Oryzias latipes: one gene and its partner. The protein of the gene in region 2 purifies or fractionates together with the protein of the main gene of each other region. This does not show direct contact. Links are inferred from orthologs where the notes say so. Each region holds a gene or a part of one and is shown on either strand. Other genes may lie near its edges.

Region 1 (4,549 bases), about 17 Mb from region 2:
AACTCAGTCAAGGATCACTGCTGCCGTTTCCATTTCTGGAAGCAATCTAACAGAAAAGACCCAACTCCTGGTTGTCCAACTTAGTTTTACAAACTCAGCTTTTTCTTGTTTCTTGTAACGTAGCTCCTTGAACAGGAGAGTGTATTTTTAGAGGATACTGCTGCCGATTAAAGACACGAGGCGGGATGTGGGGAGAGGCCTGTCGAAGACAAATCTGGAGTCCAAGCACTCCTGACGCATGAAGTTACTGCAAGACAGAAAAGGTTTTGGTCTTCAGACAAAAGGCCGTTCTCAGGTTCGTGCTCAGCACTTGACTGTAGATGCTGCTAATGATGAGGCCAACAGCAAACATTCAGCTGCTTCTTCATCGTTACAGAACAGAGCTCCATACTGCAACGTTTGTTTGTTTCCGGATTCTGTAGTCCGGGCAGAGAATGAGAGCTGCCTGTTGGTTGTTTCTCATTATTAGAGAGGAGAAAAGTGAACTGGGCTCTCATCGGCTCTACAGGCAGTTTCCTGATTGGTTTTTCTGCTAGTCCTGTAAAAACACTGTCACAGTCATCAAGTCCACTAAACGTGAATGCATCAACTAGTTTCTCCAAGCTCTGTTCAAGACATCCGATCTTTAATACTTGAACTATTTTTAAGATGTTAGTCTGCAGATTTGGTGACTGCCTTAATGCATTTATCAAAACATAGGACTGTATCCATGACTACACCCATGTTTCTGGCCTAGTTGGTGGTTTTTAGATGAATAGATTGAAGCTCTATATGACATCAAACCACTTCTCTTTAGCCCCAAACACAACAAAAAGTGTCTATTCATCATTTTCCAAATATGTGTTTCTGCAGCTCATCGCTTCTCCAGTGGATGGATCAAACGCAGAGAACACTGTTCACCAATCCAGGAGCGTAGCTTTAACTTTCATTTTAAATACGACAAAATGTAAAAATGGATGCACTTAAAATGCGTGCAGGCAATGCGCATCTTGGCTGCAGTTTTTGTGCTGGTTGCAAGTAAATACATGCGAATAACATCAGCCAAGGCAATAACCTCAGTTTTGTGTTTGTTCAGCTGAAGTAATTGAGGCACATCCAGTCTTTCATATATTAAATACTTTTACCAAGAGCTTGTAGAGGGCCTTGCTCTCCTGTGATTTCTATATCTGTTTGTCATCTGTGTAACGCCATAAATTAACCAATGTTAGTGTTTAGATGTACAGTTGACACCCATGAAAAGTGACATTTCTCCCCAAACACAAGAAGTTTAACACAAGAAAACATGGAAAAAATGTTCAGGTCCATGGAAGTCGCTGCAACTCACCAGAGCAGCCGAGCGTCCGCCGTCAGTCCAGCAATGGAGATGCCAATGTGGTTATCAACATGAAGGATCTTCTTCTGGTGGGCAGCCAGCTCAGACTGGGCTCTCTGCAGACCAAAAAGGCACAACAGTAATGTGTGGTGTGTTACAGATCTTTAACGACATGTTTTAATTAATAAGAAAGACAGGAAAGTGCCGGCTAGTATGAATATTAATGGGTGTAACCAAACACTGTCATGGAGGTTAAGGCTCAAATAACACTAAAGGAGAGTTGAGCACGTGAAAAGAGCCGTTTCAGCGTAATGGAGGCTGGCAGCAGTTCTAGTCGTGTTGAGTGACGTTACCTTAAGTGCAACCAGGACCGCGTGAGTTCTGGACTTCAGTCCGACGGTTGCAGAACCTTGTTTCACAGCCTCCATGGCATATTCGATCTGATGAATGCGGCCCTGCGTTTGCACCGACAAACCAAACAGTCAAACTACACACAGCCGGACAAAACCAACACACAAACAACAACACACGCTCCAGTAAGTAAAGGGCAGCTTACCTGAGGACTCCATACCGTTACGTCGTTGTCGTACTGATTGCGGAACTAGGAGGGAACACAAACGCGCGTTATGATAATAACACAGCATCCTTCTCATGATCTACAGCCAGGCTTACATAGTTGTCCTGCATTAGTACGGTTAGTGTTCTCGTCTCTAGACTCCAAACCAACTGCACCGTGTTCGCGGTCAGAACGTCTCATAAGGATTGGAAGGACGCGTTTCAATTACTACAGACTGAATAATTAATCAACCTGTTCGTGTCATCCTCAAGAAAAACGATTGAATCCAGCAGTGGATGCAGCAAACCAGCTAGCTACCTGCTGCTTCTACTAATTTAGTTCGGTTCTTATTATCTGTAATAAAATCAAATGATTTAATATGAATATCATCATCATGATACGTGAAATGATCCCAATGGCTGTAACTCCATAACTGACGGACTACGTTGTGTTTTTAAATCTAGAAGAAAGCGAAGAGCTGAAGAAAAACGAAAGTGAAGACATGACTGGACTCCCGATGCTAACTTTTAGCTAGCTGTTAGGATTAGCTTGTTCGCAACAAGGTATTCCAAAAATATTACATTTCTAATCTGCTATTTGCAATGTTTTCTCACTATTAAACCTGTTTTACTTTAACAGTTTAAAGTACTTAACTAACTTCTATTGTTTAGAGTGAGCTAATACTTAAAGCTAATGTTAGCGGCTGTTTTGCTTACTCACAGTGCAGACCAACTTAGCTAAGCTAACTTTAGCATGGAAATATTTTAACAATTTCTTGAGGCTTAAAAAGTAACAGTTTAGGATCGAATGCGTTTTCTTACATTCCTAGAAACGTTTTCTGGTACCGAACGGAGGATTTGTCGTTAAATTTCCCTCACACTTACCATCTCTGCTAAAGTCTCGCTTCCTCCGCCTGCGCCGGGATCTCGATTTAGTTTCCTGGGTTCCTCGGCAGACGGCAGGGAAAAGCAGCAGAAAGCCGATTTCAAACGATCGATGATTTCAATGATCGATGCCTTTGAAGAGCCGAACAGAACCAGCAGAGCTATAGAATAGAGCAGAATAAAATAGAATAGAATAGAATAGAATAGAATAGAATAGAATAGGATTAAAACACAAACAAACAGACTCGTGGTTTAAATGTCAACATAATAAACAAAACACAAGTAATACGTCAGAATTAAAATACTAGTTAGACAATTCTTCTAAACTTTAAAAATATAAAAAAACGTTACTAACCTAATGGCGTCCATACCAGTTAATAGACTAATTAAAAACCATATTATTTAAAATATTGTGTAAGATGCTTAATACTTGGGCAAGACACTGAACCCCCACTGAAATACTTAATATTAATAATTCTTTTCCTTATTTTTTCCCTTTTTTTTCCTTTTAAACATTTTTTGGGGTACAAAAACCATCACTTTAAAAACAATAAACAATAATTTCACAAGAAACAAATTCTATAAAAGTCTTTATGGTCAAATAGTATCTAAAGAGTAAATGTTTTTCTATCAATTTTGATGTTTAATATTTTTAAAACAAGCATGTCTAGTTGTGCAACAGTACTAGGTTAAGCGTGAAACATGCATGTCTTTACCAAAGGAAAAGAAAATCCAAATGTCACTGCACATGCTTCAAACCAAAGATTGATTTCGGCATCTTATTCTGCAATGGTGGTATTTCATAATTTACTATCTGGACCACATGGTTGAGATGTGATTGTGCTAAAGACACTGATTTAATGACAGTTGTATCTGGACATGAAGAAAACTGTTAGTAGTTTTATTGTTCTAAAACTTTAATCAACTAAAACAAAGATAAAAAACAGTGCAGCAAACCTGCAAAAATCTGCAAATAAATAATAAAGTTTTGCATGATTTTATATTGTTTTCAGTCTGAATATTTCACCCTCTGGTGATTTTGTAGGAAGTTTGTGTTCAATTACTTAACGAGCTTTCAGAGCAGACAGGTTAAATTCACATCATTTCCACATCATCCCTGTAGTCTATTTATTTATTTGAAAGCTGATCTCTGAGGTGACCCCTGAAGGGATGTGCTGACAGGCGAACAACAGCAGCAGCATTTGTCATATTTGTGTTATAGTCACCGTTTACCCCGCTGCGGTTTCTTTACACATGAATTTGAAGAAGGAAAGCCGAGAAATGGAGAAAGAGGTTGCATCAACATTTCTTGGTAAAAAGAATCCTAAATAAAGAGTATTGAAGCAAAACAAAACAAAACAATGTTATTAATTCCAACGTCAGGGTTGACTGTTTCTTCATTCAAGTTTGTATTGTGGTAACAACTTTTTGGGGGGATTAATTTATTGATTTTATCTTCTAACATGCAGATACAATTCCAGCAAGGAAATACTGTTTAAATAATAAAAAATAAATAAATAAATAAATAAAAACATTAAATGACATCATAACAATAAAAACGAAAGAATGAAAATATTTCTAACAAAATGTGGGCATGAGTTTATTAAAGCCCACCCCTTTTCCATTTTCCTGCTGTCTTTACACTTCCATTGTAAATAAGTATTTTCCTAAAGTAACAAATAATGGAGGAATTTCTCAAGTGCGTTCATGCAGTTTGTTGAAAGAAACTATAATCCTTTAGCACATTTAGATTTGTGCAAAAACAAATCTGTGTTTGGATAGGCTAAAAAACACAGT
Region 2 (4,572 bases):
TAAATTTCTCACAAACATGATTTGGGAGCCGGAAGTTAAAAAAAATCTTCCATCTCAGATCGTCAAGAATTTGTCAGTTTAGCTCCAAAAGTCTCCAACTAAACTCTGAAAACACGAATATGATCATTTAAGTCCCAAACTTGAATTCCAAATTGACTTAAGAGTTTGTGTCACATCTGTTTACCTTTTCAGTGCTGTTATATTGGAAAAATCTCTATTTCATCTCATTTTCTTGCACTGTTTTAAAAGTATTTAAAAGTAACAGAAAAGCCTGTTTTTGACTAACTTTTTTTAAAGGTTTTAGAGAATTTCTTTTCCTGCAAAAACAGTTGTAAAAACATGAAAAAGCTTCAGAAACACATAAGGTCAAAATAGAAAAATAGGTTTTGTAATAAAAATGAGGGGAAAACATCTTAGAAAAACATCTTAACATAAATAATTTATCGATTGAAGTTAAACTGAAGCAAGCTGTGCAAATTTAAAACAATTATTTGAAGTACTTTTGTAAAGAGCCTAATTACCTTCGTATGCATGACATCACTCAGATCTTCTATACTTCTGGTTGAGATTCTGGCTGCTTTTTTCCTGAGTTTCTCTTTATATCATTGAGGTTTTTTTTTTTTAAATGTCAAATATCATTTCTATGTTGACAACTGACTAAAGAGACTAAAAGGCAACAAGATCCTGCAGCTGTAAACCAACCCAAATCCCCCCTACTCCACCGTGCACCATGACCGTGTTTTTATCATTTCTGACAAACACGTCTCTCTTAGAGGAAGCAGCAGCTCAGTTTCCAGGGTAAATTCAGGAGCAGCAGCTTGGTTTCTGCTCACCTGTAAGTCTGTCTGAGTTTCCTGTCGCTGAGGCTTCTGTTGTTCCGTCCACTTTCTGCTTCTTGCTGTTTCCTGACGATTGTGACGAGCTGAACAAGAGACGGAAACAAGATCAGATTAAAAAAAAAAGGTAAGTAAGACAACAGGCTGAAGAAATCCAGTGAAGGAAACTTTTCCTCTTCCTCTGCGTACTTGCGTCTCTTCACAGCCCCGACTAATAAGTGTGCCTGAGACAGGTGGCTGGTCTTCGGCTCGGTCGCTGAAGCTTTGGGAGTAGACTTCTTCTCTGGCTCTCTGTGGCTCTCTGAAGCCGGCTGCTTCACTAAAGCGCTGTGAAAGCTCACCGTTAAGGAGAACAGAACAACGTGGAGATGTGGGGGGGGGGTTATCTCCTCTAATTGAAATGCAGAGACTAACACCAAATGCTGATCAAACCACGATCTTCATTTGCACGCATCAACATAAAAGGATAGGCTCCAGCAGCCCCATGTCCCCGAAAGGGACAAAACGGAAGAAGATGAACGAAAAAAACCATAAAAGATTCCTTATTACAAAAATCTGCTCACTAACAGATGTTGAGGCAATCATCAGGGATGTTATGGATTAACATAAAAAAGTGATGGAGGATATTCTGTACTCCAGCAGCTCCTGCTTCTCCTCATCCCTCCGCTGCTTCTCCACCAGGCTCTGCTGCCGTGAGACCTCATCCAAGAAGCTGCTCTCATCTTCATCCAATCCCCTCACCATGTTCCCTGTCACCATGGAAACACACCACAGAAAAGGGGCGGAGGCGTGTCAGCTCAGATATGACGCACAGTTATCATGGAGCATCATGAATAATCCTGAGCATCCTCTCCATCCTGTACTTGACGGTCAGCGGAGCGCCTGTCCCACGAGGCTAAGGCAGCTTCGCTGTCACACCAACCGCTACAGCAGATCCTTCCTACCTCACTCCACAGACTTTATAACTCATCATCCTTTTTGCCATACATAAACTCATTCGAAATCTGTTTTTCTAAAGCTGTTTCCAAACGGATTTTTTCCCCGATTGTCACTCGTTTGTTATTGAGCCTGTATCAATCGCTGCAACAACCGAATTTCCTCAGCTGGGATCAATAAAGTATCTCTATCGGTTAGAATTCTGGAAATGTGTCTCAAAAAGAACAACTCTGTGGTTCTGATTTAAACTATTTTTACATAAAGTGTTGGGTTTTTAAAATGTGTGGAGAAAAGGATGCTGCCATTAGGCTGTTTTTCAGTTTAATAAACAACAGCTTAGTTTTCTCCTGTCCATTTTTAAAAGTTTACTGGAAAAAGATTTCCTCACATTTCCTCCCATCAGTTCGTAAAAAGCAGCAAACTTTGAGTCTGATTCTGTTCTGTGAAGGATGGGAGTCAAAGACGCACTGAATTTAAACTGCTCCTCAAATTCCTGCTGTTTCTTGTCTTTCTGCTCCTGCAGCCGCTCAAAGAGCGAACGTGAGTCGTACTCCTCCTCTGGCGCCTCTGAGGAGCACAAACAAACCCGGGGTTAGGCCGACAGACAGAAGGCGCCAAGCGTCGGTTGCAGGATCTTCTCACCTTCCGGATCTTCAGGGTTCCGGACTTTCTCCCACTCCTCCTGTCTCTTCTTCCTCCTCTCATCAAGCTCTGTCTCGGACACAAACTTCCTGCTGAGGTCCACGTTTGTTGCTTCTGCTCCCGCCATGAAACCCTTCAAACAAACATGTTTACTACAGATTATCTACAGACCTGAGAGCGATCATCATCCTTATCCTCGCCTTTTCTTTAATAGGCCAACAATCTAAGTGTGTGAGTGACATTTCTCATAATTAGATAACATCCTTATCTGATAATGGACTTGTTGTTTGTGTTCAGATAAATTTAATAAAGTTCACTTTTCCTGCAGATTGGTTTCTGCAGCCAGAACACTAACCCATTCTGACTCAAACTAATCAACTCAGTTGTAGTTAGAAAACATTTAAAGCAGTTTTAAAAAAATCCAGAAATGTCACATCAAATGAGCTTAACATGTCAAATGTGACCGGTGTGATCGCACAGCTCGCTCCTGCAGGATTCCGGCTAGCTTGTTTAGCTCGGCTAGCTTTAATAATCCTCCAACGATCGAGGCAGAAGACGCGACATTGTCACGTTTTAAGAGGTAAACTTTCAGAAGCGAAACTGAAAAGCATTGATTTTAACGCTGAAATGTTTTAAAAACACAATTTGTTTGTGGCAGAAACTCACCACCGTAAAGGATCTAAATAGCACCAGACGGGTTGTGTTGCAGTAAAATCGTTCCGTCGCGACGCTGGACGAGCCAGATAGTTCCTATTAGGTTATAGTTTGAAACGAAACCAAAAAAACAATATTAAAAATACATTTTAAAACTATTCATTGAACTAGAAACAAAGTTTAAAAAAACTTTGATGTCAAATCATCAATAAAAATATATGTATTTTTATAGGGGATTTAATCTTATCGACTTATTGAATCGCATAACGTTAAGAAGTGTTCATTCTATTCTTGTGGTGACCACGAGATGGCGCCAAATACACACAACAATGGAGCCGGGAATTTTTTAATGCACATAAGTACACTGTGTTCACTTTATGCTTTTATTCCAAGATAAGGTACATTTACGACACATCCCTTTTAGATGATGTTGAGTGATTCAAAAATATTCTTTCTTAAATTTTTTTGAATAAATTTTTGGAAAAATACCTGAACTTTTTAAAATAATTTTACAAAATATTGTTAAACTATAAAACATAAATACCATATGTTTAAAATAAAAAAAGACAATTACTAATCTGATATTGCCGGACAACCCCCTTTAGATTTTTAATATCACATTATACTAGTTTAATTGGTTTTATAGGAGGGATGTCATGTTGTAAAACATCAATAATTTTGACTGTTTTTTTGTTGTAAAATCAAATTTCACTCTTACATTTGATCTCTTTCATCGGATTATGCCTTTTTTTTCCTCATCACATCATATAAATTGGATCAAAATTAAATCAAATTATTGTTATTAATCGTCTTCATATATGACTGCACTGAAATGTGCGCTTTGAATCATTTTAAAATAGGTTTTTGTCCATCTTTTCATCATTTTATTTGTGTTACCTATCCCAACTATATATCTACAAAAAACACATGTTATTGATTATTATTTTCATGTACTTTTAAATTGTTTGTTGCAAAATATTTTTGTAAAGATGAAATAAATTAATGTGTTTGTGTTTTCAACCATAATAGTTGTTGATGCATTTGTGATGATGAAACTTTTACTAACATTGTTATCATTAAAACTTTATAGATTATTGTAAAAAATAAAACTATATATATTTATTTTATATATTTATTGGCTGTCTATGCGGCCGTTCACGGAGGGGGAGGTTCCAATTATTAGCGTTTCCAGCATCCTGTTTTTGTACTCGGCCTATTTCTCATTGTCCATTGCCATCAGTTAGGGGGTGGGAGGTGTGAAAGGAGTGGGGGGCTAGGTACGGGGAGGGGGGCCCTATTTATTTATTTATTTTTATTTATTTATTTTTAAATCGTCAATGCTTGTTTTTATACTTTGTTGTGTTTTAATGTAAAGCACTTTGTGTTATATTTTTATATGAAAAGTGCTTTATAAATAAAGTTTGATTTGATTTGATTTTGGTTTGGGGTGATTTCTCAAGTTTTTCTTGGATTTTCTGTGGACATGTACTTTAGGGAAAATCTT

The links. Proteins that work in one complex are often made in the same cells at the same time.
Region 1: the proteins of fam192a (region 2) and psma1 purify together in Homo sapiens (affinity purification with mass spectrometry; 3 studies listed by BioGRID and IntAct, counting the BioPlex papers as one, with this or other methods). This does not show direct contact. The link is inferred for Oryzias latipes from reciprocal best matches to the Homo sapiens genes PSME3IP1 and PSMA1.

The regions. Positions count from the first base shown.
Region 1 is NC_019864.2:7,544,987-7,549,535, forward strand, and holds the start of psma1 (proteasome subunit alpha type-1), read right to left. Parts: upstream 2,928-4,549; 5' UTR 2,756-2,927; coding exon 2,753-2,755; intron 1,914-2,752; coding exon 1,869-1,913; intron 1,768-1,868; coding exon 1,666-1,767; intron 1,429-1,665; coding exon 1,325-1,428; intron 248-1,324; coding exon 159-247; intron 1-158. UniProt on the Homo sapiens protein: Component of the 20S core proteasome complex involved in the proteolytic degradation of most intracellular proteins. This complex plays numerous essential roles within the cell by associating with different regulatory particles.
Region 2 is NC_019864.2:25,012,765-25,017,336, reverse strand, and holds the start of fam192a (protein FAM192A), read right to left. Parts: upstream 3,183-4,572; 5' UTR 3,081-3,182; intron 2,548-3,080; 5' UTR 2,542-2,547; coding exon 2,415-2,541; intron 2,340-2,414; coding exon 2,241-2,339; intron 1,586-2,240; coding exon 1,464-1,585; intron 1,166-1,463; coding exon 1,026-1,165; intron 923-1,025; coding exon 834-922; intron 1-833. UniProt on the Homo sapiens protein: Promotes the association of the proteasome activator complex subunit PSME3 with the 20S proteasome and regulates its activity.